Linked DNA regions of Saccharomyces cerevisiae S288C. The protein of the gene in region 1 purifies or fractionates together with the protein of each later gene. This does not show direct contact. Each region holds a gene or a part of one and is shown in the gene's direction. Other genes may lie near its edges.

The links.
Region 2: the proteins of YKL162C (region 1) and YOR385W purify together in Saccharomyces cerevisiae (affinity purification with mass spectrometry, with the first as the bait; one large-scale study listed by BioGRID). This does not show direct contact.

What each region holds. Positions count from the first base shown.
Region 1 is NC_001143.9:146,848-150,738, reverse strand, and holds YKL162C (type II protein arginine methyltransferase), read left to right. Parts: upstream 1-1,900; coding exon 1,901-3,109; downstream 3,110-3,891. Other genes in the region: putative protein kinase KDX1, read left to right, coding at 52-1,353. UniProt on the Saccharomyces cerevisiae protein: Arginine methyltransferase involved in the assembly or stability of mitochondrial NADH:ubiquinone oxidoreductase complex (complex I).
Region 2 is NC_001147.6:1,062,983-1,066,499, forward strand, and holds YOR385W (uncharacterized protein), read left to right. Parts: upstream 1-2,060; coding exon 2,061-2,933; downstream 2,934-3,517. Other genes in the region: FRE5 (putative ferric-chelate reductase), read left to right, coding at 1-666.

The sequences.
Region 1 (3,891 bases):
AGATTAATTCGGCCTGGAATAGTTTGATATCGAAGAAAGATTCACAATTAAATGGCGACTGACACCGAGAGGTGTATTTTCCGTGCATTCGGCCAAGATTTTATCCTAAATAAACATTTTCATTTGACAGGTAAGATTGGTCGGGGCTCACACAGCCTTATTTGTTCTTCAACTTACACAGAATCGAACGAGGAAACTCACGTGGCTATCAGAAAAATACCAAACGCGTTTGGCAATAAACTATCTTGCAAGAGAACTCTTCGTGAATTGAAACTACTAAGACATTTAAGAGGGCACCCAAATATAGTGTGGCTCTTCGATACTGATATAGTATTTTACCCAAATGGGGCACTAAATGGCGTTTATTTATATGAAGAACTAATGGAATGTGACCTTTCTCAAATTATAAGGTCCGAACAACGCCTGGAAGACGCACACTTTCAAAGCTTCATATATCAGATACTGTGTGCTCTGAAATACATACATTCTGCTAATGTTTTACATTGTGACCTGAAACCAAAAAACTTACTTGTTAATAGTGATTGCCAACTAAAAATTTGTAATTTTGGGCTATCGTGTAGTTATTCAGAAAACCACAAGGTTAACGACGGCTTCATTAAGGGTTATATAACCTCGATATGGTATAAAGCACCAGAAATTTTGCTGAATTATCAAGAATGCACAAAAGCTGTCGATATTTGGTCAACAGGCTGTATCTTGGCCGAACTACTTGGTAGGAAACCAATGTTTGAAGGGAAGGATTATGTAGATCATTTGAATCATATTCTACAAATACTTGGAACACCACCTGAGGAAACATTGCAGGAAATTGCCTCTCAAAAGGTGTATAATTATATCTTTCAGTTCGGTAATATCCCGGGAAGATCGTTTGAAAGCATACTACCTGGTGCTAATCCAGAAGCGCTTGAATTGCTAAAGAAAATGCTAGAATTTGATCCTAAAAAAAGGATTACTGTAGAGGATGCACTAGAGCATCCATATTTGTCAATGTGGCATGATATAGATGAGGAATTCTCATGTCAAAAGACCTTTAGATTCGAATTCGAGCATATCGAAAGTATGGCGGAATTAGGAAACGAAGTTATAAAGGAAGTATTTGATTTCAGGAAAGTTGTTAGAAAACATCCTATTAGCGGTGATTCCCCATCATCATCACTATCTTTAGAGGATGCCATTCCTCAAGAAGTTGTACAGGTCCATCCTTCTAGGAAAGTTTTACCCAGTTATAGTCCTGAATTTTCCTATGTAAGCCAACTTCCATCACTAACTACAACCCAGCCATATCAAAACCTTATGGGAATAAGCTCTAATTCATTTCAGGGTGTTAACTAAAAGGAAAACACCTTCAAACAAGATACTAAGCATGAAAATAGTGAACTACTGAACGGACCTACTGAGCCAAATATAACAAAAATGAGCCCAGTTTCATCGTCTCCCCCAGGTCACGATATAAATGTCAATGATGGTACAAACCAAAATACAAATGAGGATGACAGCGATTTTTTCTTCGACCTAGAAAAAGAACTTGAATTATTTAGACGATAAATTTTTGTAGCAGAAAACCACAACTAATAGATGCGCACATACACTATCTATAATGAATATGTAAAATGCCTGTTCACCTTCTTAATTATTGGTATATACTTCAAATATTGCAAAAAGAGAAAGTCCTCTCGGCGGTTTTGCAGTTCCTTCCGAAAGCGGGAAAAACCAAAATGTGAGAAAGTAGGATACACCATTGCGTAGATTCGCGATGATCCGAATATAAACATGATTCCCTCGTCAGTCCTCTCTCAAGTTTTCTTTCCCGTTTTAAATAGCTTACTAATATTTTCACAAAAAAGTTGATATCATTTAAAGGTGCTTTTGGCGGGATTGAATGATGAAAAGATTACACCCCTTGAGAATTCAAGTTCATCTGAAATCTGATTACCCACTGTTTACTTTCGAGCAATTACTCTCTACAAATGGGATAAGAAGAGGCCAAACTGCGAGAATTTCTTTGAAAGATTACATAGAGTGGCAAAATTTCCCAAACATAATGAAAAGAGAAAATTTTTTTACGCAAAGGAAGCCTGTAACTACAACCGCAAAAGAAGAACCCTTTTCATTTGATAACATTCTTGACTGTGAGCCACAATTTAGCAAATGCCTTGCCAAATGGCTACTGGTTAATTACAAATTAAATGACTATCCTTATTACGATCTTAACATTGTGAATATTTACACGGATTTACCCCAAGCAATTCAGATTTGCAAAAATTTAATGTCATATCTCAAGTCTACTTTATCTGATAACATGTTCCAGAAAATAAAATATTTCATGGTACCTCTATACAAGTGTGACAAAATACCTTCGAAGCTCTTAGACGGAATACCTGGATCAGTCAGTTTGGTACAAGATTATCCGGTTTCCCCATATTTTTTACAGAAAAAATTTCACATAGAGGATCCAATCCAAATTTTGATGCTTAATGATGTTATAAAATACACAACCCACGATTTAGTAAGGTACTCTTCAGATGACAAAGGGTGGCAACAGTGCTTTGTGGATATCAATAAGAATGGACAAAAATCCAAGAGCTTTGATAGCGCCATTGACTACTCATGTGAACTTGCATTAGAACAAATGTTCAATGATCGATCCCATGTAAGTCCTGGTAAAGAACTTTATATCCCCACTAAATTAATTGAGATATTGATGACAATCAAGAATAATATTCCAGAACATAGACTTTTCATTGTAGACACCCCGCAAAGATCGAGCCCAACAATAATATCGTTATTAAAGAGTTTAATAAGCCCACGGCCGACGGGATCTAGCCAGATAGTACAGCCATATTCGGATTCAATATTTTCAGACAAACGGAGTGGAAGAATATGCTTCATGACGGACTTCTTACAGTTACAGAACATTTATAATGGTATTAACAGTTCTTCTAGTAGCTGCGAAGTCGAAGACGTTGCTGATTTTGTTGAAAAATGGATTAGCCCAAGTGAGAGAAGCACACTTTCGTCGCAGAATGGAAATAGGCCTCAACTAGAAGACATAAAAAATAGCTCTTTGGCGGTGCTACACTCCACGTGATTTCTTTTATTTCGTTGAATTAAAATGAAGACGTTTTTTACAGTAAGCGACCTTAATCTTTGTTTCTATTATCTACACTTTTACGTTTAGTATATTCATTTCATAGGCAGTAGGCATTCTTTTAAGAAAAACATAGCGCGCATATCTTCTCCTCTTTTGTTTCGCAACTCCCAAACAAGATATCAATTTCCCACCACTCTAACGAATGCGAATAGTAACCCCATATTTAAATAATACTATAAGGGTATTCGTACGAGGTAGGATTTTCAGTAGACCAAATAGCCTTCAACGACATCATAAGTACACACTGAGTCTAAGCATTGAACTTTCATATGAATATATGGGACTATAAGAGATGGGTGTGAAGAGAAAGACAAATTTGGGTTGAAGAGTTATAATTAGCCTTATGCAGGTCTCGCTCGCATATTCTTAACTCAATAGGAGCAATTTCTTCCATAAGCTTATATCCATATCCGGTCATTTTCTTCATTTGTGCCTGTAAACGCATATGATTTTTTTTTCTTAGGCACGTTCTGCGTGAAAATTTCCTGTTGCGGATGAGTAAGGTGTTCGTTCTACTTCAAAACTCCGTCGCAAATTTAAGTTTAATCTTGTAAATTGCCTAATACGTCATACGTCAATACATGATTCGCGTTCTTTTTTTTCCATCTTGCTAACGCGAACCTAAACGGTGCGACAAAAAGCCACTGGGCTTAATCGCTTAACAGAGCTACCGATTCTGCTTGATCTATTGACAATTTAACGTAGACTACGTAAAAAGT
Region 2 (3,517 bases), on another chromosome or scaffold:
CCATTCACGGTCATGGATTCTTTGGTTGAGGATGGTGAGTTGGTAGTTGTGATAACAGTGAAAAATGGGCTAACCAAAAAATTACAGGAATACCTTTTAGAGAGCGAAGGGTACACGGAAATGCGAGTACTAGCAGAAGGACCTTATGGACAAAGCACGCGAACACATTTGTTCGAAAGCCTCCTGTTTATTGCCGGAGGGGCGGGTGTTCCTGGACCTCTGTCGATGGCAATAAAGGCAGGTCGCCAGGTCAAAAGCAACGATTCTCATCAAATGATCAAATTTGTGTGGAGTGTACGTAACCTTGATCTCTTAGAAGTGTATCGCAAAGAGATAATGGTGCTAAAAGAGTTGAACATAGACACAAAAATTTACTTCACAGGAGAGCGAAAAGATGAATCGAACACGGAGGAGGGAGCAATTGCTAATATGAGCACGGAAGGCAGACTGCTGACGACATCGAAATCAGCGGAAATGATTACTGATTTTGGACGACCAAATATCGATGAGATAATTGAAGAAGCAGTAAGTGGTGCAAAATCTTTGTTGGTCACTTGTTGCGGGTCAGAGGGCTTTGTAGACAAGACACGAGAGTTGACGGCAAAAAGAGTTCTTGAACACGGTGACAAATGGATAGAATACGTGGAGGAATTCCAGAATTGGTAGCATTTCAATCCGCCCTATCAATGCTAACCTGTTACGAATACCAAAACCACAAAAACACGGACCTTGTTTAATTACTGTATGAAATAACTGTACTCCATTAATATTCAATGCATTTAGTCCTTAAAAATCAGCGGGAATCTAATAAGCCGGCGAAGGTACTACACCTCACCCTTACTGTTATTTAAAAATCCTATTTGTGGGGATTTGCAATTAGTTTTCATCGCCAAATAACAATCCTTCACTGCACACCACTACTTAAAAAAAGGGTACATTGCTAACATTCTTGGTATGAAAAATTGCAGTCATTTAGATTGAGTTGGCAAAAATACAAATTTAACGCATGAGTATAAAATCGCTATTCGCTTTATTATTATTTCCTCCCTGATTAATAAATATCGAAGGGTAATCAGGGTTACGGGAACAGTACTTATCGGAGGAATAATAAGCAGCACCCTTTAGAATGTGGATCGTTTCAATACAGTCGCATCTGACATATACAGCGCCACTGTCGTAAGTTGTCAATCACGAGAACATAATCTTGAAACACGGATGGCTACATAGAGTTACCTTTTTCATCATGATATGAATTGATACTTTAGGCATGATAGAAAACAAAAGTTTTGCATTACATCAGGGTATCCAATTGAAAATGTTCTAGCTATTCATTTACCTTCCCGAAAAGCATTCTTCGAAGCTGCAGTTCTTTCTGCCATTCATCTCAGAACTGTCTTCGTTGCAGAGTCAAAGTTGCCACTTTTCTTCATTTATTTGATATAGAAAATGCGCAATATACAATCTCTCATTGCAGGATTGATATCATTTTTCCGAGGGAGCGATATTCAACCAGGTTTTGCCAGTCAACGGTGAAGGGTAATACATCAGGTAGGTTGAAAATTAGGCGAGTGAATTAAGAACTTTCTTCCTTTATTACTCTCATTCAATGCCAGTTCGATGAAAATTAGCGGGCAACGATACGCAAATGTCTCGTAAATACTTACGTAATAAGTTATTATTTAATCAAACTTCAATTCGCAAACAAATGAAGGTTACACTGTACTTGCATCACTTACAGTGGGTTTGAAGTTTCTATGATAGTGGTATCTCGAATTACTGAGAAAATACTGATAGTGAGCTCTTGACGAAAACCTTTCTCCCCGATTATCGCCTATGGTGTATGTCATAAAGGCTTATAAAAGCGAGGCTTTTCATAGAAATATCACTTCATTGTCAGCAACAGGGGCTCATGTTCATTCGTAAGCCTCTTAATTTTTCAAAGGCATTGTACATAGAAACAGCGAAAAAACTGTAGCAGCCACTTTCACTGAGCTACTGTATATAAGGCGGGCAGTAGAAACCAAGACATAATAATTCAAAGAAGAAACAACCAATTAACAATGCGTGGTTTCAGTGGTCAACCATTGAGTGATGATGATAATTATAGAATTGAAAAGACTCAAAGGAACACAATTCCTGAACGTCTCCATTTTAGCAGAGAGAGAAATATGCCCATTGCAAGTATATTCGGGACTAGAGGATATTTTGTATTCTCAAGTGAGCAATCCTATGACAAATTCAAACAGACAAACTTTAATATCAGTACTCTAGATGCGGATGGTGTAGGTGTTCCTCTTTTTCATATTGTCCAAAGTTATAACGTTATTGGCAAAATTACTCGGAGCTCGCCGGATTTCTATATCTACAAGTACGTTTTACAAGGGGTGCAAGATCCGCCTTTATACTCTGATTGTAAAGTTATTTGTCAAGATAAAGTTTTTCGTTTATGCAAAATTTTATATTGTGAAATTTATGCTCATCAAGGATTTTTTGAAACTAAATACGATTTCTTCTATCCTTCTAAAACGCAGCCGGTCAAAAAATACCAAATAATCAAACAAAGTAATATGCGAGATCTATATTCCACTTTGGACGGTATGCGTTTTCGTTGGCATGTGAAATTCTACAGCGATCATTTTCGATTGATGTTCCTAGATGAGGACAGGCTCAATTACTCAAATAGTAACCAAAAGGAAAGGCAAAAACCAGATCAAGGAAAAAGTAAGGCTCCAGATTTCGTAATTGGCCATTATACAAGAACTTTTTCCGATATACTCCCTAGATCCACGTCAAAATGCTCCAATCTTATTATTGGAGAACACTCAAAGCCAGACTCTCTTGGTATCACGACCGTTCCTGATTTGACTCAGGAATTTGCCTGTCAGGGAGCTTTAATCCATTATCTGCTGCATATAGAACGAGAAAGAAAATAAAAAAAGAAACAGAAACAGAAATAGAAAATGGTGAAGTAGGATACAATCTAGTGGCTTATTACTCAAGGATTTTTTCGCAATCCGTCCAATCCGAAAAATATAACTTGACGTGTAACACCCAGAGGAACGTTATACAGGCAACTGAGGTCGAATGAAACGAGATTACTCTTTAGGTTCAATTGAGCAGGCATTTATCCGAGACATTACGACCTAGCCAAATGAGATACATACATATTAGCTAGAACTTCGCATCACATATTTTTTCAATTTTTTTTCAATACGCAATTATTGCCCATAATTAATCTGAGGTTTTCATACTTATTGGCAATAGTAAGATCAAGGTAACGTTGTTTTTGGTTTGACTTTATACAGGATTTATTCCTACGTAGTCAAGATTATGGTATATTTTGTGTGCATTTTAACACCGGCGCTAGTACCAACATCTTTTTACTGATTGTATTCATAGAGTATCCTTTTAATATTACTTAGCAAGTATTTTGTAACAAATCCAAGCATAATATAACAAGCTCCGTCAATTGAACCCACCTTTTTAACAATATGAGAAGATACAGCTGTTTTTTCTC